Ovis aries: one gene and its partners. The protein of the gene in region 6 interacts with the protein of the main gene of each other region in a pairwise test. Links are inferred from orthologs where the notes say so. Each region holds a gene or a part of one and is shown on either strand. Other genes may lie near its edges.

The links.
Region 1: the proteins of CRX (region 6) and GCM2 interact in binary tests that used the Homo sapiens proteins (3 or more experiments, as listed by UniProt). The link is inferred for Ovis aries from reciprocal best matches to the Homo sapiens genes CRX and GCM2.
Region 2: the proteins of CRX (region 6) and M1AP interact in binary tests that used the Homo sapiens proteins (3 or more experiments, as listed by UniProt). The two-hybrid records come from large-scale screens. The link is inferred for Ovis aries from reciprocal best matches to the Homo sapiens genes CRX and M1AP.
Region 3: the proteins of CRX (region 6) and CCNC interact in binary tests that used the Homo sapiens proteins (3 or more experiments, as listed by UniProt). The two-hybrid records come from large-scale screens. The link is inferred for Ovis aries from reciprocal best matches to the Homo sapiens genes CRX and CCNC.
Region 4: the proteins of CRX (region 6) and BANP interact in binary tests that used the Homo sapiens proteins (3 or more experiments, as listed by UniProt). The two-hybrid records come from large-scale screens. The link is inferred for Ovis aries from reciprocal best matches to the Homo sapiens genes CRX and BANP.
Region 5: the proteins of CRX (region 6) and LARP4 interact in binary tests that used the Homo sapiens proteins (3 or more experiments, as listed by UniProt). The two-hybrid records come from large-scale screens. The link is inferred for Ovis aries from reciprocal best matches to the Homo sapiens genes CRX and LARP4.
Region 7: the proteins of CRX (region 6) and LONRF1 interact in binary tests that used the Homo sapiens proteins (3 or more experiments, as listed by UniProt). The two-hybrid records come from large-scale screens. The link is inferred for Ovis aries from reciprocal best matches to the Homo sapiens genes CRX and LONRF1.

Annotation. Positions count from the first base shown.
Region 1 is NC_056073.1:44,530,351-44,534,484, reverse strand, and holds the start of GCM2 (chorion-specific transcription factor GCMb), read right to left. Parts: upstream 2,801-4,134; coding exon 2,711-2,800; intron 1-2,710. UniProt on the Homo sapiens protein: Transcription factor that binds specific sequences on gene promoters and activate their transcription. Through the regulation of gene transcription, may play a role in parathyroid gland development.
Region 2 is NC_056056.1:96,481,242-96,485,172, forward strand, and holds the start of M1AP (meiosis 1 arrest protein), read right to left. Parts: upstream 2,801-3,931; coding exon 2,561-2,800; intron 1-2,560. UniProt on the Homo sapiens protein: Required for meiosis I progression during spermatogenesis.
Region 3 is NC_056061.1:37,546,097-37,549,596, reverse strand, and holds part of CCNC (cyclin-C), read right to left. Parts: intron 2,543-3,500; coding exon 2,487-2,542; intron 1,759-2,486; coding exon 1,723-1,758; intron 1,052-1,722; coding exon 960-1,051; intron 248-959; coding exon 180-247; intron 1-179. UniProt on the Homo sapiens protein: Component of the Mediator complex, a coactivator involved in regulated gene transcription of nearly all RNA polymerase II-dependent genes.
Region 4 is NC_056067.1:12,929,398-12,933,354, reverse strand, and holds the start of BANP (protein BANP), read right to left. Parts: upstream 2,801-3,957; 5' UTR 2,133-2,800; intron 1-2,132. UniProt on the Homo sapiens protein: Controls V(D)J recombination during T-cell development by repressing T-cell receptor (TCR) beta enhancer function. Binds to scaffold/matrix attachment region beta (S/MARbeta), an ATC-rich DNA sequence located upstream of the TCR beta enhancer.
Region 5 is NC_056056.1:135,859,144-135,862,643, forward strand, and holds part of LARP4 (la-related protein 4), read right to left. Parts: intron 2,419-3,500; coding exon 2,209-2,418; intron 1,590-2,208; coding exon 1,541-1,589; intron 1-1,540. UniProt on the Homo sapiens protein: RNA binding protein that binds to the poly-A tract of mRNA molecules. Associates with the 40S ribosomal subunit and with polysomes. Plays a role in the regulation of mRNA translation.
Region 6 is NC_056067.1:54,473,051-54,476,987, reverse strand, and holds the start of CRX (cone-rod homeobox protein), read right to left. Parts: upstream 2,801-3,937; 5' UTR 2,762-2,800; coding exon 2,662-2,761; intron 1,932-2,661; coding exon 1,780-1,931; intron 1-1,779. UniProt on the Homo sapiens protein: Transcription factor that binds and transactivates the sequence 5'-TAATC[CA]-3' which is found upstream of several photoreceptor-specific genes, including the opsin genes.
Region 7 is NC_056079.1:23,438,124-23,441,490, reverse strand, and holds the end of LONRF1 (LON peptidase N-terminal domain and RING finger protein 1), read right to left. Parts: intron 1,867-3,367; coding exon 1,708-1,866; 3' UTR 501-1,707; downstream 1-500.

The DNA of each region.
Region 1 (4,134 bases), on a different chromosome or scaffold from region 6:
GCGCTCTTACAAAATGTCACTCATTGTGTGTGTGTCCCCTTCTGACAACTGGCTATAAACTGATGCTTCTATACCACTTCCTACAAAAATGGTACAGGTATTAGTTTTAGCTTTCACACTGCCCACAGACAATAGGCGCAATATTGTCCCTATTTAACTGAATAGTAAACGGAGGCCAGAGAGCTTCATCGACTTGCCCAAAGTCACACAGCTAGTAAGATCTGGCTGTAGGATTTGAGCCCACACAGTTTGACTCCAGAGCCTGTCCTCCTTACCACCAGGTTATACCACTTCTTGGTGTATTCACATGTTACAAATATTTTTAAGGTAAGTATTAAAGTGCCAGGGCAGAAAGTGGTTAGAAAGTTCTTCACTGATATACACTTGAGCCTGTATCTTTTCTTCCATCCAGTGGTTTTTCTTCCAAAGCTCTTGGCTTGATACCCAGTACAACATGAGAGAGACAAGAACAGCTTCCCAAAGTAGCCTTCCAGGTTTGCATGTATACGTGCTGAGTCACTCAGCCGTGTCCAACTCTTTGCCACCCCATGGACTGTAGCCCCCAGGCTCCTCTGTCCATGGGATTCTCCAGGCAAGAATACTAGAGTGGATGGCCATACCCTCCTCCAGGGGACCTTCCCTACCCAGGGACTGAACCTGCGTCTCTCTCTAATGTCTCCTGCACCAGCAGGCAGGTTCTTTACCTCTACTGCCACCTGGGAAGCCCAGCCTTCCAGGTTTACAAGGGTATTATGATGACAGCCTGGATATAAGGTAAACCCGAGCACTTGGTGGAGCCTGCTAGGTCCTGGTCCTCTCTCCAGAGCAATATGGATTGTCATTCTCCTACACAAAGAGCTGCCTGGCTAGAATAATGTGATATCTAAAAGAATGAACACCGCTTTCCTATTCATGTTTGGTGGTCCTTGTCCATATTATGCATTATTTATACTGCGATGTCTTTCTTGTTATAAGTTTAATATAAAATTACCCTTTCCTGCACACTCAACTATTTACCAGCTACTCTTTATGGCAGGGGTCTGCAAACTAGGGACCATGTGCCTAATTCAGCCTCCCACTTGTTTTAGTACAGCTCACAAACTAAGAATGATTTTGACATTTTTTAATGATTGAGGGGACAAATCAAAAGAATTATATGTTGTGACACGTGAAAAGTCACACGAAATCCAAATTTTGCTATCCACGATGAAGTGGTATTAGAACACGGCCATGTACATTTGTCTACGTTTGGTCTGTTTTCACACTATAGTGTCCTAAACATGCACAGGATGAGAGTTTAAGACCGTTATCTAATTCCACTGCTTAATGACAAGTGAGTGACCCTAGACGAAGGCAAATTCAGGATGTCACAATGTGACAAATTCAATGTCACACTGTGAGTGTAGCCCTTTCTCCTTGGGTTAGCCGGAGCAGGACCCTCGTTCTCCAACCCAGAGCACCTGCCTCTTTAGAGACGGCACACTCACTCTGTTTAAGGACTAATCTCTCAGAGGATAAGTTCTTCACATTTACATGGGAAGTCTAGAAAATGCTTGTGAGGGAACCCATCCTTCCCTTATTTGGATATGGCTCTTTTCTAAAATACAAGAACAGATTCCCCCCAGCCCCCGTGGGGATTTACACGGACAGAGGTCAGTGGGAAGGAGATGCCGCAGCTGTACTGTGGTCCACTTTCACAGAATGGTGCAGTGTGACCCTAAAGTAGGCAGGCTTGAAAACAAACAGATTTCCATGAATGTGTACCCCAAAGTACTTATCTCTTTGAGAGGCTACCCAACGTTGCTAATGAATTGCTGTCCACCTGAACAGCTGTATGGCACATAATAGATGCTGAATAAAGGTCAAGTCTCTCTCACCCCTTGTACCAGGGCATTGCCAGAAGTCCACCTCTGCAAATGTTTCCAGGTCATTCCTAATTCTCCTTCCACCTCCACCCAGGACTTTAAAGTCACTCTGCAGTTTTTGCTCCCAACCACTGTGACCAAGCATAATGGCCCAGCCCATTCTGGGGACTTGGCTTGAGACACCTTCTTTCTGTTAAAAACTAAAACAAATTCGCCCTAAATTCACCCTAAACAGATGACACTGATTTCCTCCTCACTAGAGAAGTAAGCTCAGAAGTTGTGTCCAAAACCTGGATTCCAGAGGCTGTCTGGGCGCCTGCGACCTGGTTAGCGCGACTGCAAAGCCCCTCAAGAGCCACGCTTCATCCTAGCAGCCAGGATAAATGGCCCAAGTCCTGCTGTTTAAGATTCGGTCGCTGCAATTTATGGTCCTATCTCAGTTCCGCTGCGTGAGAAGAGGTGGCATCTGCATTCACCAAGATGCCCCTCCACCTTTCTAGTGGATGTCGAAGAATGGACAAGCAAGAGTCAGCGGATTCCTACCTCAGTTAAAAGAAAGTGGGGGACGCGGTGTCAGGCTCCCGGCGGCCAGACGACCTGAAACGTGGAGCCTAATTGACGGTTCCTGCTGCTTTCTGTGTTTTCAAAAGGGTTCGAGGAAACAGGTGGGAGAAGACAATCTCTAGCCCCAGCTCCGCCATTTGTGGAGTCCCTGCACATTGGCGGGCTCTCAGGGATGTGTTTTTTTGGAGGGAGGAGGAGGGTAGGGCGGCCTGTCCACAGGCTCTGCCAAGACATCCCTCCTCTTTGGAGGGAGAGCGGCTCGCGCAGCGGGTTTCACGCACCTGCGGCATCTGCGGGTCGTTGATGTCCCAGCTGAGCTTCATCCCGTAGGACCACGCGCAGTCCGCCAGCTGCCCCTCCGCCGCCGGCATCCGGTTCTCCTCGCGGGCGCTCCCTGCCAAGTGTCCTGAAAGACACAAGAAAAACAAACCAACCTAGAGCAGCCCAAGGTTGTTTTCCCGCTGTTTTAAAAGCAAGTGGAGAGAGAGACAGACAGAGAGGCCGATTTAGAAATGCAGAAGCGGCGGACAAGGGCTCGGGGCGGTTCGGGTGGAGCCCTGTTCTTGGTGGCAGTGCTGAAAAGTCTCCACCTGGAGCACAGCGCGGGCGCCAGGCAGCTGCCTGCTCGTTTATAAAGGTGCTCCCCCCACCCCCGCCCCGCGGCCCCGCGCGCTGTGCTCCGCCTTTCCTCGCTCCCCGCCCGCCCGCTCCCACCCTCCAGGGACCTGCAGGGCCGGTTCCCCACTTCCAGGCAGGGCGAGGGACGGAGGGGAGGTGGACCTGAGGACTCAAGGTGACGGGAAACTGAAGCCTAGACGGGCCAGAGTCGGGGGAGGTTGAAATGTCTAGTTAAAGTTGAAACTCATGTTCATTTTCCTAACTGCGCCCCACCTCTGGGGTTTCCTACTGGATCTAGAGAGAGGCTTTTGAGACAGAACCTTTCCAGCAAAATGCCCAAGAGGTAATACTCAGTCCCCAGGCAGTTCGGGAACCACCTCTAAACGCCTGGGCGGCCGCGCGCCCTTGTCCGAGAAGATGCGCGCCTACTAGCTTTGGGGCGCGTTCTTTTCGGGGATTTTGTTCCGGCTGATGTTGCTGTTCAGTCGCTCAGTCGTGTCCGACTCCCTGAGACCCCATGGACTGCAGCATGCCAGGCTTCCCTATCCTTCACCATCTCCCAGAGCTTGCTCAAACATGTCCACTGAGTCGGTGGTGCCATCCAGCCATCTCGTCCTCTGTCGTCCCCTTCTTCTCCGGCCTCTGAGTCTTTTCTAATGAGTCAGTTCTTCGCATCAGGTAGGAAGGGGGAAGGGGAAGGAGGGGGGGAACTCTGCGGCCCCCAAGCGCCCCAAACCTGTATTTTCTCTGCCGCCTTGGCTACTTCTGAGCCTGTTTTCTTTCTGCTAGGAAAAGGATCTGAGGCTCGGAGATTTCTCAGTCGCCATCCACATGAAACGACCCTTTTAAAAAATAGTATTTTTTTTTCCTCCCTAACCGCGTGGAAATCGTCGTGGAAATATCACAACAAAATCGTATTTACACCCATTGCGTCTGCAGAGGCTCTGGAGACTGGAAGAACCAGGTGAGCGCATAGGGCGCTGTGGGCTTCCCAGGGCTGAGACCAAGCTTTCTTTAGCTGTGCGCCCACTTCCTTAGGGTGATTGGAAGGGCCCAATACAAGGAACCAATGGAAGGGGTTTAAGTT
Region 2 (3,931 bases), on a different chromosome or scaffold from region 6:
ATTCTAACATCTGTGTTATCTCAATGTTTGTTGTGTCATTTAAGTTTGGATTTTCCTGTTTCTTGATAATCATGGGAGGTTTTTTTTTTTTTTTTATTGTATTCTGGACATTTTGGGTATTATGCTGTAAGAATGAATCCTGTTTAAATCTTCTGTTTTAGCAGGACTTTTTTGTTACTGCACCAGTGAAGGAAGTGGTTTCCACATAATTATTGCCAGACTGGGGTGTGACTCTATTTGGTCTCTAATTATATCCCAGAAGGGAGAGTGTCTTGTTATCTCTGGGTGGGGGTAGAAGTTCAGGTTCCTCATATGCCCCCCAGTGACACTCTGGGAATAGAGAAGCTTCATTACCATTACGCATTTTACTAGGAAGAAACTCCTGTAACTTCTGGCTTCCCACTAGGCTTTCACTGACACCACTCTGCCTTGGAGGCAAAAAGATGCCCCATTGCCACTCCCCACATGGCCTCCACTCTGCTGCCTCCAATACCACCTCAATAGGGAGGGGGTGAAATAGTTACCCTGTTAAAGTTGAATGGGTTGAGGGGAGTCCAGGCTACCATGTGGCTTCATGGACACTATGTGGGAGGAGGTCTTATTCACACTAGGTAGGAATCAAAGTCCTGGCTTTCCATTGGTTCTTTTCTGACTATACCAACAGCAAGGCTGTCTTAGGAAAGAAGGGAATTTACTAGAATCTCTGAAGTCTTTTGGGTGGGTGGGGGATGAAAGAATACTGGAGTGGGTTGCCATTCCCTTCTCCAGGAGATTTTTCTGCCGAATCATGGAAAAAGGAAGAGAGTTCCAGAAAAACATCTATTTCTGCTTTATTGACTATGCCAAAGCCTTTGACTGTGTGGATCACAATAAACTGTGGGAAATTCTGAAAGAGATGGGAATACCAGACCATCTGACCTGCCTCTTGAGAAACCTATATGCAGGTCAGGAAGCAACAGTTAGAATCGGACATGGAACAATAGACTGGTTTCAAATAGGAAAAGGAGTATGTCAAGGCTGTATATTGTCACCCTGCTTATTTAACTTATATGCAGAGTACATCATGAGAAATGCTGGGCTGGAAGAAGCACAAGCTGGAATCAAGATTGCTGGGAGAAATATCAATAACCTCAGATATGCAGATGACACCACCCTTATGGCAGAAAGTGAAGAGGAACTCAAAAGCCTCTTGATGAAGGTGAAAGAGGAGAGTGAAAAAGTTGGCTTAAAGCTCAACACTCAGAAAATGAAGATCATGGCATCGGTCCCATCACTTCATGGGACATAGATGGGGAAACAGTGGAAACAGTGGAAACAGTGTCAGACTTTATTTTTTTGGGCTCCAAAATCACTGCAGATGGTGACTGCAGCCATGAAATTAAAAGACGCTTACTCCTTGGAAGGAAAGTTATAACCAACCTAGATAGCATATTCAAAAGCAGAGACATTACTTTGCCGACTAAGGTCTGTCTAGTCAAGGCTATCGTTTTTCCAGTAGTCATGTATGGATGTGACAGTTGGACTGCAAAGAAAGCTGAGCGCCAAAGAATTGATGCTTTTGAACAGTGGTGTTGGAGAAGACTCTTGAGAGTCCCTTGGACTGCAAGGAGATCCAACCAGTCCATCCTAAAGGAAATCAGTCCTGGGTGTTCTTTGGAAGGACTGATGCTAAAGCTGAAACTCTAGTACTCTGGCTACTCATGCAAAGAGCTGACTCATTGGAAAAGACTTTGATGCTGGGAGGGATTGGGGACAGGAGGAGAAGGGCACGACAGAAGATGAGATGGCTGCATGGCATCACCGACTTGATAGACATGAGTTTGGGTGAACTCCAGGACAGGGAGGCCTGGCGTGCTGCAGTTCATGGGGTCGCAAAGAGTCGGACACGACTGAGCGACTGAACTGAACTGAACTGAACTGAACTGAAGTCTTTCCCATCCCTGAGACTCTGAACTTTGTAAAGGGGAGGAAGTAAAAAATTGAGTTTGTTTGAGGAGGAAAAGAGTTTTCTATATGTGAGGGAGCTTGGTAAAAGCATTGCCCTTGGCCCATCCTTTGCCTTCTGAAACTAGGGGGAGTTTCACCTGAGTCCTGTGTAAAAAATATTTTCATGTTTCCGCACAGATGGGGCTTTCTGAGCAAAAAACTAGAACCTGGGTCAAAAGACAAGTTTTAGAAATTAAAGGGTGGTAGAGTAACCACAGACTTCTGAAGAAGTTTAGGGATTTATTTCCTTGTGCTTACATTTCCAAGGGGGATGAGAGAGGTCAGCTGCTTACATTCCAAAGGACTGTAAATGCCAAGATTTCTCTCTCTCAGGAGTGGAGGTGGGGGGCAAGACATGGCTTATTTACACTCTCATATTAGTAATTTTGGGGTTCTCTTCCTTCAGTACAAATCCCCTGTGTGTAGGATGATATGAGGCTCTCATTGTGTTGCCTGTGAGTTATGGGTATGGGGAGCGGGCACAGTTACTGCTTTAAGCAATAATAACTGATCTCTGTTCCAGAACCCTCACCTCTGCTTTCAGGATAAAATGAACAAGTATAGATATACTCACCACAAAAGGGAGGATGCACTCGTGCTGGTTTTGTACAATGTATAAGCTGAAGAGAGGGATGCGGCTGGGGCCCATCAAGCTGCAGGCTAGAGAGAAAAAGTTCTGCAGAGCCTCACAGAGGTTGGAGCAGACATCAGCCCAGGATGGTAGAGCAATATGCACAATGAGAAGCCTCGGAGGTTGTTGGTACATCTGTGTGGGATTAGAGGGCCTTTTACTAGCTATTTGCCCATGATACATGGCAGCCAGCCCAGAGGTGGACCTGTAGCCACCACTGAGATATTCTCTACACCTGTAAGGAAGAAAAGAGAAATCACTGGTTTTCGTAAAACTGAAGGTTGAAACAATGAACACAGATCTAGCAGACGAAGCTCAGAAAGAAGTCAAACCAGGTGATGACTCAGGTTTCTCTGCTGCTGCTGCTAAGTCGATTCAGTTGTGTCCTACTCTGTGCGACCCCAGAGATGGCAGCCCACCAGGCTCCCTCGTCCCTGGGATTCTCCAGGCAAGAACACGAGTGGGTTGCCATTTCCTTCTCCAATGCATGAAAGTAAAAAGTGAAAGTGAAGTCACTCAGTCGTGTCCAACTCTTAGCGACCTCATGGACTGCAGCCCACCAGGCTCCTCCGTCCATGGGATTTGCCAGGCGAGAGTACTGGAGTGGGGTGCCGTTTCCTTCTCCAATGCATGAAAATGAAAAGTGAAAGTGAAGTCGTTCAGTCGTGTCCGACCCTCAGCGACCCCATGGACTCCTCTGTCCATGGGATTTTCCAGGCAAGAGTACTGGAGTGGGGTGCCATTGCCTTCTCCTCAAGTTTCTCTAGGCTATCCTAATCTTAACAGCTGCCAAGGTATCTAGATGTTTGCCTGTAATGTAAGGCTGAGGATGATTAGCAATGTTGAATGGAACTAATCAAAAAAGTCAAACTACAGTCTCAATGTAAGCTATCTGCCCTCAGGAACTTTGTTTCTTTACTGGCATTGTACTGTAGTATAATTTGTCTCCCTGACTGCCTCTCCCATTGTACTGTGAGCTTCCCAAGGATAGAGAAATTACCAATTCTGTATATCAGAGCTTAGCAAAGTGTTTATTTTGTACATAGTAATTCTTAAAATGAAAAATATAACTACATTTTCACCCTCCAAGACTCACTCAAAACCTTTTATGATTTGATCTTCAGTCTTATTGGAGGCTATTCTTTACCTCAAGTTTTTCACTGAAATAAAACCAAGTATACCATCAACTTCAGTGCATTTGCTCATGCTGTTTTCTCTACCTGCAACAGCCCTGCCTTTTTTCTTTACTGGCTACTTACACTTATCCCCAGGGCTCAGATTTGGAAAGCAGAACAAATGAAAACTTGGAACAAA
Region 3 (3,500 bases), on a different chromosome or scaffold from region 6:
GGAAATAATCCTGATTTGTGACAGTTGCAGTTCATATTATTGAAAGCTCACATGCAAGGAATAGTCTATTACTTCAAGGAACATAAAAACATAAAGCACAATAGGGTGAAATTTCTTTTAGGATGACCTAAATAGGTTTATAATAATTTAGCTAATAAAGGTATACCACGTTTACATACCTAAAGCTATCATGAAAGGAGGATACAGTAGGCAAAGATCCGTTCTGTAGGTATCATTCACTATCCTCCTATAGAAATGTAAATCATAATATCACTACTTCATATGATTGTACATTTCCCTCCAGAGAGGGCCAGATTTTCCCTATCTGTATATATTTATATCTCTTTTATATTACTTTAACAGACATAAAGGTGAAAACATCAAAGGAAAAAGATGGATAACATGAATGTGACAATAAGCCAATTTATTGAATAAAATTACAGTTAAATATATTTAAATTTTTAAAACTTCATAATAAATTTTAACAGATAAAATTTTTTCTAAAATTAGAAAATCAGTTAGGAAACTAGAAATTATACAAAATATTAATATGTATGTTGAATACCACCCAAAATATTCTGATTAAAGATAACATTTTAAAATTTATTTTACTGAAGTATAGTTGAAATCAGTGTTCATTTCTTCTGTACAGCATAGTGATTCAGTTATATATTCCATTATTGTTTAAAGATAAAATCTTAATTTTCATTTAAACAGTCTGTTTTTCATAAGAATCAAATTTTAATGGAAATATCCATCAAATAAATAATTTAAAGATCTTTATCATTTTAGCATTTATTCCCATATAGTTATTAAAATTCAATAAGCAGATATTTCACTTAACATAAAATATCTTGGGGCACGGTTTACTTACTTTAAAAATGCTAAATTTCATATTTAATTGTCAACCTTCCTAGCTAATAACATGTTACACTATGAATAACTTCTGTTCTAATTACCATGCAAGGGGAAGCAACATGTCTTCTTGGCCCATGTCCTGCACATACTGGAGCAAAGGTCTATAAGGATGATACACTATCAAGCAACAATCCTAGAAACAGTTTAAAAAATGTGTATGTATAAAAACAGATTTATTATAGCACAAAAACCTTATCATTACCCAACTGATTTTTAATAGTATATTTCAAAATGTATTTTTTTTCTAACTCATGCTTGCTTCCCTCTTATTCTCTTAAGCAAGCAGCATGGCAGCCCTAAACTCTACTATAACAGTGAAGGCAGTGCTCTCTCTGGAATATACCTTGGTAAATCGGTTGGCAGTCAGTCAGCATCCATTCCCTTAGAGACTCAAAGTGTCACATCTGCAACACACTGAAACCTCTTATTAGCCTATAAATCCATAATTCCCAACTGGTGGAGCAGAATTCTGCCAAAGACATAATCTATCTTTAAATAACCCCACACATATACACAAACTGTGCAAATAATTTACAGTGGTTTACTGTCCTGACTGGTTTGATTGTAATCCTATTATAGTTACTATAGAACAGAAAACACTTCCCATCCTAAGTAAGATATACAACTGTACAGGCTTCCAAGAGCATACAGGTGATGACGCCACTAGGAACTATGGTTTACCATCACATATTACTCGGATGGTTTTAAAATGCACCTCCCTACAATTATTTCTTTAAATTTATGACTTCACTAAATTTGAAAGTAAGTTTTACTCTATTAATCATAAGGAATAAATATACTTACCATTAATTCTAAAAGATAGAATTCACATTCTAATACCTGTTTGGAAAAGATTATAAATGTCAACATGAAAGCAAATTAATTTGAGCCTTAGTTTAACTTAAGAATGTATAGCTATTAAAAGTTCTAAAATATTTTTAAGAAAACAATAGCTTATGTCAAAATGAATATATGCTATAAAAAATTACTTTTTACACAATGCATGCAACTGTGATTATGAGACATTTTATTTCTTGTAAGGAAAAGCCAGTCTCATATAAGCATTCTTATTACTTGTTTTTATTTAAAATATCCTGTATAAACTTCAGATTTTACAATACACTTTCCACTCAACAAATGCAAAAACACAATTATCTCCACTTAAATATCATTCTTGTTACAAATCAATAATAGAAGAGAGTACTAAAATGAAACAAAAATACAATTTAAAGAGGAAAAAAAAAAAAACCCTTGCAAGGTGGAAAAAGAATATTTCTATTAAAATGGCAATAGAAATTCATCTTTTCCAGACAGCCCCTGACATCAGTATTATTAAAAAAAGCTCCCAATGTGATTTAATGGGTACCCAGGGTTAATAACGACAACTATAAATTATTTTTTTTTATGGTAGAAGCAAGTTAGCTTTAATTTAGAAATAAAGTCCACATTCTCGTACAATTTTAAATTGCCATTTCTAGGAGACTATTCAGTTTATTTTAATATAAAATGGAGGTATAGTTTATATATACAGCTTTGACAAGTAGTTTTATTTTATACAATATACTTACATGGTTCATCTTATAAGGAAATTCCTTTGGAAAGGCATATGAAAATCTAGTTTTCACTGAGAAAACAAACAAAAAAACTTAAACTGAGAAAATGGGGAGTTCATTAACACAAACTTTTTTAATACAGTGTAAAATATTGATGGTAGAGCTAAATCATTTTTAGTAAGAACTCGAGGATGCTTAGAGATGCAGATTTTTCTTCCTTTCTCAGGCAATGGGAAAGACTGAGAGGCAGAAAGCTCTAGGACCCCATCCAAATTACAATTAGAGAGTTTCAATGATATATTTAATATATTAAGACAGGATTCTGCTGCTTAAAAAATTAAGGAAATGGGAAAAAAATCAATGGCTTTTATCATTTCTAAAATCTTTTCAGCTCTAGAATGGTATTGCTATATTCTTTAGTAATTTAGCTTAAAAGGAACAAGAGTTGTATATGTGTTTACAAGTATCTATATATTTGTAAATATATACAGTTGACCGTGGGCTTCCCTGGTGGTTCAGACGGTAAACAATCTGCCTGCAATGTGGGAGATGTGGGTTTAATCCCTGAGTTGGGAAGATCCCCTGGAGGAAGGCCCTGGAGAATCCTCATGGACAGAGGAGCCTGGTGGGCTACAGTCCATGGGGCCACAAAGAGTTGGACACAACTGAGCAACTAAGCACAGCACAGCTGATCCTTGAACAACACAGATATGAACTGTGTCTACACATAAATGGATTTTTCCAGTAAGTAAGTACTATATGAGCCAAGGTTCTATATGCAGATATCTCAACGTAGCAGAGTTGGTGTGCCGATCCCCTATGTTATTCAAGGTAAACTGTATATATAAATTTTAGAAGGATAATACAACCAAAAAATGTTAACAGTGGTTATCTCTGAGATTTAAGGATTTTTACTGATCTGAACATTCTAAACATTTTATAATATGTATTTTTTAATCAAATGATACATTTTAATAAAATCATGAATATACATGCAAAGGTCTCTAGGATTTTCTTTAAAACTACACA
Region 4 (3,957 bases), about 42 Mb from region 6:
TCCAAACCAGGAGAGGGTGAGGGTTGTGCCTGCACATGGAAGTCAGGTCCCTGTACGAAGAGCTGTACAAGGGCCGTCCCTAGACCAAGTGGAGCAGCCCCCAGTCAAAGGCATCTTCCTTAAGCAGAGAGGCCCAGAGAAAATCTGCCTTCTGGCATTTGAGGTCCCAGCACAACAAAAAGTTCCCCAAAACCCAATAGGAAACCTGCACATTTTCAAAAGCAGTCCCACGGGGGAATTCCCTGGTGGTCCAGAGGTCAGGACACCATGCTTTCACTGCTATGGGCCCAGGTTCAATCCCTGGTTGAGGAACAAAAATTCCATAAGCCACCATGTGAGTGTGACCAAAAAATCAGCCCCCCAAACTCATGAGTTCTCTGCCTGCTTCCTCTGGCCTTAGACAACAATAATTCCAGTATTTGAAGAGTACTTGCCACACAAAGCAAGAAGCCCGTCTTTTTAAAAAGAGGAAAAGAACAGTGACACAACAGAACACAAGAAATCAGAGAACAAAAGGGAACCAAAAAAACCCTTACTAGTATCCCCAAAGTCAAGGAGAAAAATGCATTCATCAAACAATACATTATTATGAAAAAAGAACATTATAAATCCTTAGAAATTAAACTTTGATTGTGGAAATGAAAAATTTTTAAGTAGGACTGGAGGATAAATGTTTCTATCCCAGAAACAAGAATAAGATGACACAGGAAGAAGATAATGACAGAAGATTCAGAGGGTTAATCCAAGATGTCCATCATCAAACTAACAGAAACTCCTAAAACAGAAGAGTAAAAGCAGAGCTGGAGAAGGAAATAGCAACCCACTCCAGTATTCTTGCCTGGAGAGTCCCACGGACAGAGAAGCCTGGTAGGCTACAGTCCGTGGGGCCACAAGAGTCGGACAACTTAGCGACTAAACCACCACCAAAAGCAGAGCAGAAGACATTCTCAAATGACACAAGACTTTCAGATTCCAGAGCTGAAGGACAAGTCCCCAGAGTCAGAAAGCAGTCAGAGTAGGACTCTACACAGTTTTCGGGAATTCCGGAAATGTCTTAATACCAAAGAGGATCCTGAAGAGTTATCCAAAAGGAATAAGGCTACTTGGCAGTAGGTTCTCACTGAAATAAAGGAAGTCAAGATTAAAACACGAGACCTGAACAAACTCAGTTGTATATAGTAAAAAAAAAAATGTCAAGATGATACTGGTGCTGGTCTAAGGAGTAAACAATCCAGATTAGAAAAAGACCACCACAAGGCTGGGGAGAGGGGGATGGTAAGAGAGATTTAGTGCCATCCTTCAGAATCTAAAACAAGGTAAAGTGGGACTTCCCTAGCAGTCCAGTGGTTGAGACTCCATGCTTCCATTGCAGGGGGAACAGGTTCAATCCCCAGAGAACTAAGATCCCACATGCCTCGGGGAATAGTTAAAAAAATAATAAAAGGTAAAGAGTCAACAGGAACAAAAAGTGCAAAGAAAAAGAAAGGCCATCACAAACAACAGAAAAAAGCAAAAACCCGTATAACAGGGGAAATAGACTACCTAGCTGTGAATATCTGCTTAGTTATAAACAATCTGAACTGAACATAGTGATCAGGGGATAGAGGTGAGACGCGATATGAAAAAGTCAGTCATCCTATCTGTTAACAGCAAGTCAGGAATGTATAAAACCAGTAAAGTGCCAGCTTATTATTTATAGCAACGAAGAACTTCCTCATGAAACAGCAAAAATATAAAGTCTTGGAGGAGTGGAACTGGGAGGTGGGGTGGGGGCTGTTGTTTTATAGTCTTCCATTGACACTTTGCGGCATTACTTTATTAAAGTATCAAACGTGTGCAGTTTTTTCAGAACATGGACTTGGGACAGATCGCATTCAAACCTGGCCGTGTGACCCAGGGAAGCCCCTTCCCTCCGTGGGCCGCAGCCACCTCCCTGTCCCCCTGACCCGACCGCCGCGATGAGAAGCGCTGGAAACGCCGGCGGGACTGGCCGCAGCACTGGACCCACACACGGCATCAGCTTTCTCAAAATTGGAGCCGTGACAGGACCCGACGTCCCAGGAGGAAACGCTTATTTTAATCGCCAGACAAGGGGGGGCAAAGGAGCTTTAAACACACGGAGTTAACGTTACCGGCGGCTCGAAGATTCCGAGCACCGGGCAGGGGTCCCCAGGGCCGCTCCTCACTCGGGCCCGCCGCCCGCCCAGCGAGAACAGCCGCCTCCCGCACTTCCGCCCGCAGCCGCTGTCCCCGCGTCCGCGGCCGCCGGCCTCCCGGGGGGGAGCCGCCTAGCCGCCTGCCAGCCCGTGGCCTCACGACCCGGAGCGGCTACACCGCAGCAACAGCAGCGCGACCCCACCCCGCCCGCCCGCGGCCGGACGCTGCTCTTGCGGGCCTGGTCCCGGAAGGGAGGCCCGCTCCGCGACGGACCCCGCGCACCGCGACGGCGGGGGCGGCGGGCCGGGGGATGGGCGGCCGGAGCCAGGTGCGGGTGCGCTGAGGCGCGGCGGGCAGGCGGCTTGACAGGGCTGAGACGGGGGCGCACAGGACGGCGGGCCGTTGGGGCCGGTGGCCGTGTCGGGGGGGCGGGGGCGGCGGCGCGGGCGCCGCGGCCGGAGGAGGGCGCAGGGAGGAGGGAGGAGGGGAGATCTCGCTCTCGCTCTCGCCCCGCGGGAAGGGGGAGGTGGAGACGCGACCGGCTGCGGGAGCTGCAATTACCGTGTGGGCTGCGGAATTCTCGTGGTGTTTGTCGGGGAGATGCGATAATGGCGTCCGTCCTCGCGAGAGAAGCCGCCGCTCTGCGCAGGCGCCGCGAGTCCCTCCCCGCGGCCCTCCGCCCTGCACCATCTGCGCAGGCTCACCGGGAGGAGGAACGGGGACGGGGCAGGGCGCGAGGGCGGGGCCTGCTGCTCGGAATCTCCCGCCCGCGCTGGGCTGGCGCCGACGACCGCCGGGCATGCGCACGGGTCCTGCATCCTCGCCACAGATTGGCCTCCAAACTTCTTACTTCTCTGTCACGCGTTCAGGCTTCTCACTAGCCCCTGAAAAGTCGCGTTGGTGGACCGTTCGGGGAATTTGCATTTTCTTTGAGGCCTAATGAATAGGAATTAGCGCCATAGACGACTACATGTCCCGGAGGGCCCTGCGCAAGCCTCGAGCAGTGCATTCTGGGACTCGTGGTTCCTGCGTCTGCGCGAAGCCTGCTGGTACTTGTGGTCCCATCCCCCCCGACCCGTGCCAGCGCATGGAATGCTGGGACTTGTAGTTGAGGTGTGCAAGGCCGCTGCACCGGGCGCGGCTCTGGCCACTGCTGCAGCGGGGTTCCCCTGAGTAGCAGGCGAGCTCAGGGGTTCCCAGGTTCGTCACAGGTTCAAAGACACGCTCCTAGAAAAATATATATTAATTATATGTGATATATATTTTATGTGTAATTGATGTTATGTATTGTGATGTTTGTTATGTATCCTTAGAAAAGGCAGAGAGGAACCAGAGATCAAATTGCCAACATCTGTTGGATCATACAAAAAGCAAGAGAATTCCAGAAGAATATCTACTTCTCCTTCATTGTCTATGCTAAAACTTTTGACTGTGTGGATCACAACAAACTGGAAAATTCTTATTAAGTGACAGTGAAGTCCCTCAGTCGTGTCCGACTCTTTGCAACCCGTGGACTGTAGCCCACCAAGCTCCTCCGTCCATGGGATTCTCCAGGCAAGAATACTGGAGTGGGTTGCCATTTCCTTCTCCAGGGGATCTTCCCAACCCAGGGATGAAACCCAGCTCTCCCACATTGCCGGTAGACGCTTTAACCTCTGCACCACCAGGGAAGCCCTTAAATACAAGAATACAGTCTCTCAGAAAACCTCCTATAGAGACACAGAACTTCAGATCCAGGTACTAACATCAAAGATTTCAAGGGAGGAAAGGAAGCCAGGTTGAAAGAAGAAGGGGGAGGAG
Region 5 (3,500 bases), on a different chromosome or scaffold from region 6:
TCCTTGAAAAGTTGGTCACTTTTCACTGCTCAAACATGTGGTATCTGTATATTTTTAGGTATATTACGCAAACACTATATAGTACACTATTATATATGTATATTAATTTACTATTTATGCATGTAAAGCATTATATTCCACACATATATAAATGTAAATTCTAGTGTTTTCTTGAAACCTCCATGCTTTCCTACACTAGCATCCTGTATCATGCATCGAACCTGGACTGGCAATACGTTTCACATATAATAATATACATGTTTCAATGCCATTCTCCCAAATTATCCCACCCTCGCCCTCTCCCACAGAGTCCAAAAGACCATTCTATACATCTGTGTCTCTTTGCTGTCTCACATACAGGGTTACCATTACCATCTTTCTAAATTCCATATATATGCATTAGTACACTGTATCGGTGTTTTTCTTTCTGGCTTACTATACTCTGTATAATAGGCTCCGGTTTCATCCACCTCATTAGAACTGATTCAAATGTATTCTTTTTTAATGGTTGAGTAATATTCCATTGTGTATATGCAGCACAGCTTTCTTATCCATTCGTCTGCCGATGGACATCTAGGTTGCTTTCATGTCCTAGCTATTATAAACAGTGCTGCGATGAACACTGGGGTACACATGTCTCTTTCAATTCTGATTTCCTCGGTGTGTATGCCCAGCTTCTTACACTATTTTTATTCCTCAACTCCAGTTAGGAGATGGCAAACGTTCACCATGAACAAACCTCAAAAAATAAAAATATGAATAATTTGAAGCTGGCTAAGTGAGGATTCAAAAACCTGCCTAGAACTATAAAGAATTTTTTTTAATCTTAAGTGGGAAATATAAAAATCAGCAGTAGGTAGAGAATTGCCCCTAAGTAAGTAGTGTAATAATTTCCAACATCACCCAACAGAGCTTTAAAAGTGAACCACATACTATATTAGATTTGCAAAAAATTATATACTTTGTAAAGCTATGGACAAATAGGAACTTTCTTCACTGAGTGAAAATTGACACAAACCCTATAAAAGCCATCACGCAGTAAATTACTGAACTGTGACTCAGAAATCTTACCTCCAGGGATTCTCCTTCAGACACTATAGCATAGACAGGAAGTGATGGTTATACGAGGTTATCACTGCACTGTTTGTAACAGCATTGTAAGATTAAAACATTGAAATTCCTTAAATCTCCATTAATAAAGCAATAATTAAACTTTACATGGAATATTTTCATGGATTTTATTTTAAACCATGTGACTAGGTTAGGCATTCAAACATTTTTTTTTTTAAGTGAGCAATACAGGTCAAATCTCTAACTACATGTGTGCTCTAAGGGTGACGGGTGGTGGTGATGGTGGATATTTCAGGGTCAAAAATAGGCTATAATTATCTTTGCTGAATATTATAACCAATAAAACAAAATCGAGGAAAGACATACCAGAATTCAAGGCCGTACTAAATCACACAAGAAAAACAAAGAAACAAACAAACCCTGAACACATGTAATTAAAAGTTAAAAAAAAACAACAACAACAACTTACTGGGATCCTTTCATCTTCCCGACGTCTTCGACCTCTGAAGAGAGTTCTCCTTTTAACAATGATAAAAGGGGGTGAGGGGTGGGGGAGGAAGGAGAACTCATTAAGTTTCTTCAAATGTGTATGTTCTATCAAAGATGGGTGAATTTTTACTTCCTAAATCTCCTTTATTATTAAAGGATATATATTCTTCTGAAGGGATCCTAAACTGATCTACAGAAAATGTCACCTACCACCACCACCACCGCTAAGTAAACTGGTCCTATTTTCATTATCAGTGCTCCCTCCACATCAGGAGCATATCAGGATTCAGTTTTTTTGTTTAGGTAGGGTAGACAATAAATATATAACCCAATTCCCACAGTTCACATGTTGCCAGAAATTAAAACTATGATGGCTTAAGATACTAATCTTTCCTTAGTGAACTGTAAAGAACTTCAGAATAACTTTTATAAACCTCTGACCCAGAGTTATATTCTTTATAGGGATTCTAAATTTCTTAATTATGAAAAACTAGTAACCCATATTATGTGAACAAAAAAAATTTTAGCATAACTATATATGAAAAATTAAATTTTAAAAATCACTAGATCATGGACTTCTAATATTCATATTATGATTAAAGAATTTTCATATACATTATTTCCATATTTATTACCATATTTCCTTACCTGCCCCTGCCATAGTCCCCATTCTGTTCCATCTGCAAAGTGGGAGTTTCTTTTGGAAGGTAGCTTTGTTCCTGATGCCCTGTTACTGCAGGATTATGTCGTTCAGTTGCAAAGTTCCTTGAACCAGATCTGGTCAATGGTCCATCCCCCAACGACACAGTGCCCTCTGTTGAATGTTCTGAACCACCTGACCTAAAATGAGGCTTCACACTGTAAGAAACATAAGGCCATATACATGAAAGAATAAATTAAGACAGAAAAATCCTTCCTCTTAATGGCAGAAATTCTTAATAGGCCAAGTTAAAAACTGCCTTCTGCTGTATTCTGATTTTCCATAAACTAGGTTGGACACAGAAGCATTATATTGTAAAAACGTAAACCCTTTAATGTCTCAGATATATTATTTTTAAAAGGCAAAGAATTTTTTCATTAAAAAAGCTGTCTGGAGCGATCTGGAAATGATCCAAAGTTCTTCAAGATTAAGCTACTTCCACCTCAAAATTCAGGATATACCTAGGATTTCAGCTAACTTCTTTAGCACAAGATACAGTTTTGACATATCTAAATCAGCCAGACTAGAAGCTTATTGAATCTATGCCATATATTCTCAATAGGGCAATAAAACCCCCAAAGAGAGTAAGAACTAGAATAAACAGACATACAATAATCTCTAGCATTAAACTATCATATGAGGGAATTGGAGGAAGAGTCTAAAAAGGCTCTTCAGGGGACTGAAAGTATTATCCTCCAATTAAAAATAAAATTAGAAAAAAAAAATCCACCTTCCAATGCAGGGGACAGGGGTTCAATCCCTGGTTGGGGAACTAAGATGCTATAAGCTATGGGACAACTAAGCCTGCAAGCCATTACAACTATTTAGCCCACGTGCTCCAGAGCCTGCAGGCCACATGTGCCACAACTAGAGAAAGCTTGGGGCCGCAAGAAAGACCCACTACAGTCAAAATTAAACTAAATGAATAAAGTTTATTTTTTAAAAAGTGAGAATATTTCAAGTAAGCTCAAGTAACTGAGGATCTTGGCTCTACAGCAGATTAAAAAAGGAAGTACTAGATTTTCATTTAGCCCCTTCCCTGCAGTTTATACATTCCATTTTTTTAGTCTATTTTCATAGTTATTCAGCTACCCTACTAACTCTTTAGAAAATGTAACAAATAAAGGTACTACTACTAAAACAAGCATAAATACCAGGCTATAAATTTTAGCTAAGTCTCACATATGATACTTTTCCAGAAAATTACTTATATGATACAAAATAGATTCTGAATAGCAAT
Region 6 (3,937 bases):
GGGCGAGAGGGGAGATGAGGGAGGGAGAGTGGGCAGGAGGCCCAGGGGAGCCTTCGTGATGCCCAGGAGTGGTGATGCCTATCGGTGAAGCATGCCAGAGTCATAACTCTCTACTTTGCAATCGGCTGTGGGGCACTCAGGGGGCTTCCCAGGGGGCTCAGGGGTGAAGAATCCGCCTGCCAAGGCAGGAAACGTGAGTTTAATTCCTGGGTCGGGAAGATTCCCTAGAGAAGGAAATGGCAACCCACTCCAGCATTCTTGCCTGGGAAATCCCTTGGACAGAGGAGCCTGGTGGGCTACAGTCCATGGGGTCACAGAGAGTCAGACACGACTGAGCAGCTACACAGCAACATGGGGCACTCTATTCATCCACCACCCACCCAACTATTTATCTACACGATTGTACAGCCACACATACACCATCATATACAATGCACACGATTGTACATGCATACATTTGCGGGCACACACATGGTCACACACATATATCCACATTCTTCCAGCCAATCATATGTACATACCTACTATCATGTAACATACAAATATACTCCTATACATTCATCTGTCCACCGAATCATTCATATATGCATGCAGACATACAGTCATACCTACGCACATTCACCAGCCAATCATAAGCACACACATAACAGTCATGCCTAAGCACAGTTGTAAGTATATACACACAATAATGGGCTTCCCTGGGGGCTCGGATGATAAGGAATCTGCCCGCAATGCAGAAGACCCGGCTTTGGTCAAGGGAATGGCTACCCACTCCAGTGTTCTTGCCTGGAGAATTCCATGGACAGAGGAGCCTGGTGGGCTACAGTCAGTGGGATCGCAGAGTCCGACATGATTGAGAGGCTGACACTTTCACCTCACATACAATGATACATACTTTCATCTTTCCGATCTTATGTACATATGTACACACATTATCATACAAACACATACACATCCATATATACAATCATATATGCATCATACATATATACAATCAAACACACATATACATTTACCCATCCATGCATCCATCCATCCATCCATCCGTTCAGTTATTTAATAAACATGTATTCTTCTACTCCTTTGGGGACACACCAATGAAGCTGACATTCTACTTGAGAGAATGAAAGAAAGAAAGTTGCTCAGTCGTGTCTGACTCTTTGCAACCCCATGGACTGTAGCCTACCAGGCTCTTTCGTCCATGGGATTTTCCAGGCAAGAATACTGGAGTGGGTGGTCATTTCCTTCTCCAAGGGATCTTCCCGACCCAGGGATTGAACCTGGGTCTCCCGCATTGTAGGCAGACGCTTTACTATCTGAGCCACCAGGGAAGTCTTGAGAGAGACAGCATATAAATAAATAGTAAGGAAGGAAATCACATAGAATTTTAGAAAGTGATAAATGCTATGGGAGGACCAATTGAGCAGAGTGAGGGGGAGTAGCAGAGTTGGGATGGCGGGAAAAAGCTGCAGCTTCTAATGCCAAGGGCGGTGGAGGTCTCATTGACTGGCAAGGTGACTAGATTGGTTGATAAACAAAGACTTGAACAGGGTGTAGGGAATATATCTTCCGGGTAGAGGGAACAAAGAGTGTTCTTGGTGGGAATGCTGAAGGAAGGACTGGGGCAGTGCTCATGGAGTAGAATGAGAGGGGATAGGCATGCCAGATAGGAAGCCAGCGAAATTACGGGGATGAGAGATTAACAGGACACTTCAGCCCTTCCTCTGTGACCTCTCCCTCTTTCCTCCGCTCTGGATCCCAGGGACCAGAACACCCCACCTGAACCCTGGACTCAGGCAGGTTGATCTTCAGAGCCACCTCCTCACGGGCATACACATCCGGGTACTGAGTCTTGGCAAACAGGGCTTCCAGCTCTTCCAGCTGGCTTCGCGTGAAGGTGGTCCGTTCCCGCCGTTGCTTTCTCGGGGCGCCTGGGGTGAGGACAGAAAAACAGGACTGCTGGGTGACCTGAGACCCCATTCTCTGCATCTGCTGACGCAAGGTCCTGAGAAGGCATGGGATGCTAACAAGCCTCTTCTGGGCGTTCATCTGCCCAAACTAAGGGGGTGCTGATTCCCTCAACTTCTAGACCTCACTCTGTCCCCCTGGGAAACGGGTTCTCCCTTTGCGTATCCTTAGGGGGGACTCTTGCCTCGCCCCGAGGAGAACTGGCTTTACCTGTGTAAGGAGGTATCTGAGTTTGGTTTTCATCCCCTTTCTAAAATTCCTTCTGCACTAAGACATTCACTTGAAACATGACATTTGGGATATCCAGCCGTTTGGGGATATCCAGCCTATAAAAGAGGCAGGACCGTAATGGTCAACTTAACAAAAGGATAATACCATCAAAAATAGAACGCTTCCTTCGCTAAGAAATAAAGCATCGCTGACAGATGGGAATTCCTCTGGGTCCCCCTTCCAGATGGTTTCCCTCCCTCACCCGAAAGGGAACCACTGTCCTAAATTTCTATGAAGATCCACACGCTCTCCTGCATCCCTAAGAGATGTGGGGTGTGCTTTGCATTTACAGATGAGCCCGTTTGGCTGGTGTATGGCCCTGATGTCATCCTTGTAAGTACCCATCCGCTTCCTGAGGGCAAGGGACTCCAGAAGGTGGGGGCCAGCAGGGGGTGGGGGGGCAGGGAGGATGACTGTACTCACTTGGGTAGGACACAGCTGGGTGCATCAGATCCACACTGGGGCCACTCAGGGCCAAGGCGTTGACGGAATAGTGGGGCCCCGGGTTCATATACGCCATCATGATCTTCGGGGATGCTGGGGCCCAGGTCAGGGGGCCTGCGAGAAAAGGATGGGTGCTCACAAACTCCCCAGTTCATCACCGCCTCAGTCTCTTCCTAGATATGTGACCTTGGGCAACTTATCCCCCCAGTCTGTGCCTGGGTTTCCTCACCTATAAAACAGCCCTCTGCTTAAGGTCGTCAAAGCATCACTGGGACTCTATAAAGCCAAGATCAAAAGCTGTAAGGAGCATTCTAAATGTAAGCTCCTATTCCTACTCTATCCTTTAAAAGATCTTCTGACCAACTCCCTTGTCCAAGACCTTTCCCCCACCCCGTGTGTTAGCGTCAGTCACTCAGTCGTGTCCGGCTCTTTGCAACACGTGGACTGTAGCCCTCCAGGCTCCTCTGTCCATGGGATTGTCCAGGCAAGAACACTAGAGCGGGTTGCCGTGGCCTTCTCCAGGAGATCTTCCCAACCCCTAGGACCTCAAAAAAGATGTTCAGCCTCACACAGAATCATGGCAAAGTAGGGAAACTGGTTGTCTCAGTCTGCCGGGGATAGAGAGCTTTCTAGGGGTATGGGATTTCAGTGACAAATCTGAAAACTCCCAGACAAATCAGGATGGTTAGTGACCCCAAGGGAGTCACAGTCAAATGACAGCAAGTAATGATCTCCCATGACTATTTTTGACCCCATCAAGTTGGCAAAGATCAAAGAGGCTTGGTAACTCCAGGGATGGCCTCAGAACAGGCTACTTGTGTCAGACGGGCGACAGTGTGGATGGAACAAACTGCAAACATTTATCAAAGAAAAATGCCGTCTTTCCTTGGTCCCAGCAATTCACCTTCAAGGTGCCTCAGCCACCTCATCAGAAGATGGGAACCAACAATACAGCTTACATCTTTAGGTCGATGTGAGGGTCAAATGAATTATTGTGCATCTGATACTTAAAATAGCACCTGACTCGCAGCAAATGCTACAAACCTGTGGTGGTTATTATTATCTGCAAGCAGACGTTTGCACAGACTTTATGCTCGGATACTTCTTATTGGAGTATAGTTCACTTACAATGTCGTGTTAGTTTCTGGTACGCAGCAAAGTGATTCAGTTCTGTATTTCTTTAACGTTAGTTTTCACTACAGGTTATTACCAGAGCGTGAATAGAGTTCCCTGCGCCATACAGTAGGTCTTTGCT
Region 7 (3,367 bases), on a different chromosome or scaffold from region 6:
TAGCTGAGAAAAATTCTAGGGCTACTGGGGACCTAACTAGTTAAAACTTTGGTCAAGAGGAATCAGTAAGAGTCTTATCTTTATCCTTAAGGGACATAGATTTTTTTAAAATTATTTTTAACTGGAGAATAATCACTTTACGATGTTGTGTTCATTTCTGCCATACATCAATATGAATCAACCAAAGGTATATATATGTCCTGTCCCTCTTGAACCTCCCCTTCCCACCCCGACCCACCCCTCTAGATTGTCACAAAGCACCAGGTTGAGCTCCCTGAATCATATAGCAACTAGGGACCAATCTTTTAAGAGGTTGCAAAATGTGTTTTAGAGGATGGGCCTAGAGCTTCCTTAAGACACTTCACTGTTTGGTCAAAAGACGACCAAAAAAACATTTCAAAAATATTTTGAAAGCTGTATTATTTACATCTCATAACACAAAACAGTAAAGAAAACTCAATGTTCTTTTTTTGACACTGACCTAATAATTAAGAAAAAAGTATTATGAATTTAGCTTTTATTCAAAATTAAATAAGCAAAAGCAAAATTTTTAAGAAACTTTTTACAAATTACTTACATAAAAGAAAGTTAAGAGGGACAGTCACAAGTCTGCAACAAATAATTACAAAAGTATCTAGGGCAGCATGAATACAGACCATGTCACAGCATAGTGACCTAACTGTGATATGAATAAGGCATAACTAACATTGGCACCAAGACCAGGATTTTAAAAAAAAAAAACATACTTTAAAAGCTTAGTTCTACATTAAGCTTCTTCTCTTCCCTCAGATCCTTAATGGGTTTATACTATGTAATTTTTTTAAACAAACACATCATGTCAAACTATAAATTACACAGATGGGCAGTTAATGTGAAAAGCCCCCCCCTAAAATGTACAAATGAACTGGTACTGAACTGAGTTCTCCATTTACCTTTATGTACAGTTAAGTGTAAACCATATTTTCACAGTTTTAAGTGTTTTATGAATAGATGCACAGTACCAAGTCAGGTTTGCAGTTGTTCCTGAAAACTGGCTCTAGGTTCTGCATCCGATGCCCATCGGCTATTGGGATGCAAGTATTTACATAAATAAGAAACTGTGTCATAGTCAATGGTCAAGACGGTTCAGCAAGAGCGGTATTTCCGACAAAGAGTGATACTCAATACCATAGCTTAAATACTTGTGCAAAGTAAGCATTAGGACAGAGAAATCTGAGGCAAATTCAATTTGCAAAAACTTGTATCGCTACTGTTGTAAACTTGGGCAATAAATGACCCTCGGCAAGTACTGCTCTCTATGGCTTTTTTTTTGTTTTTTTAAATTTTAAAGCCAGAGAAAATGCACTCATACTACCCACACGTGCAGAGACACACACACGCACACACCCACCCCACATACACACACAGTTCTCATTTCATTTAGAGTATGGTACATAGTGCAACTTCATCACAATGTAGAGGTTCAACACACATTCAGTGTGTGTTTTTCTGTGCAAGTTCTTAGTGGTCTAAATCCTAGTTGAAGGTATTCGTTTGCAGAACCACATGACTCAGGAGGCTGAAGAAGAAGAAAAAAAAAAAAACAACAACAAAAAAACAGTTTCCTTACGTTTCTCAAACCAGCACTGGATGTGCAAAGGCAGCGGACAACCTGGCCGTCACCCCAGCCAGATTAGGGTAATTTTAGAGGAGGATCCAAGCAGTTGGTTACTTAGATTGGTCTCTGGAAAAATAAGTCAGTATATGCTGTATCTTTGTCAACCGTTCTTTCAAAGACTTCATTGACAAAACCGACAGCTGATAGCGGGGGTCAACGGGAAGGACAGCAAGAAGCCACCAACACCAGGCCGGTCCATTAGGGATTGCCTAAGAAGAACCCACATTTTATAATGTTAACAAAACAAGTAGTTATGTAGGCCCAGAAGCAACATACCACCACCAAGCTAATCTGGATTGAGCAGTTCACAGTGTCAGATTCTCTTTCTAAATAAAATCTCCCTACCGTTTTCCACCGTGGCTGTAGCAACTTCCATTCCCACCAACGTTCCCTCTTCTCTACTCTCTCTCCAACATTTGTTATTTGTGGCCTTTTTAAATGACCTGTGTGAGGTAGTAGTCTTTATTTCCTCATTGACCGATTGGTTTTTTAGTAGCATACTGTTCAGTTTCTATTTAATCATTCTCACTTCTTTTCCTGTAGTTGATTTCTGATTTCTATACTCTTTATTTAGTGAATGAGGTTAGCTCTGTGTCCTAGTATGTGCACTTGAAGAGAATGAACTTTTTTGGATGTCTATTTAGAAAAGACTTTTCATTATTTCTTTTAGGATAGGTTTAGTAATTGCTGTATTCTTTTACTTTTTGCTTTTCTATGAAGTTGTCTTTCCTTCTATTCTAAATGATAATCTTGCTGGGTCGAGTATCCTAGGTTGCAGGTTCTTCCTTTTCAGCGCTTCCAATATATCTTGCCACTCCTTTCTGGCCTGCAGTGTTTCTGTAGAGAAACCAGTTGACAGCCAAATGGGGGTGGGGGGAGGGTCCCTTGTAATTAACTGTTTTTCTCTTGTTACCTTTAGAATCCTCACACTTTTGTCATTTTAATTATAACATGTCTTGGTGTAGGTTTGTTTGGGATCCTCTGTGCTTCCTGTACCTGGAGATGTGTTTCCTTCTTTAGATTTGCAAAGTTTTCAGTCATAATTTCTTCAAAGACATTTTTGATCCCCTTTTCTCTTTCATTCCCGTCTGAAATCCCTATTATGCATAGACTGGCCCACTTTATTTTATCCCATAGGGATCTTATAGTGCCCTTTTTTTTTTCATTTGGTTTCCTGTCTGCTGTTTTGATTGGGTAATTTCCATTATTCTGTCTTCCAGAACACTTATTCTTTTCTTATTCTCTCTTCATGATTCATTCTGCTATTCATTGCCTTCAGCTTAGCTTTCATCTCAGCAAGTGAGTTTCCTAATTTTTCTCAGCTCCTCTTTATAGTTTCTAGTTCCTTCCTAGAACAATCTGCATTTATGTTGCTAGCCCTTCTTAATTCCTTCAATTATTTTCACTGCCTCCTTTTTGAACCTGCTGTCTACTAGACTGAAGAGGCCTGTATTTCATTGTTCTCTCGGGGAATTCTCTTGGGTCTGTTTACTGGGAGTGCCTCCTCTGCGTCTTCATTTTACTTACATTTCTCTTACTCTGGGTTTAGAAGAAACAAGTAAGCACTGTAGTCTCGGACGGCTATTTACAAGTGGGAGCACCCCTGCACAGCTTGTGTGGGTTTAATAGATTTTGGCCAGAGTGCTGTTTGGTTTGGACGCCTGCTGCCTCTTTCCTCAGGATGCCTGGTCGTCGCCCCTCACTGGGGGC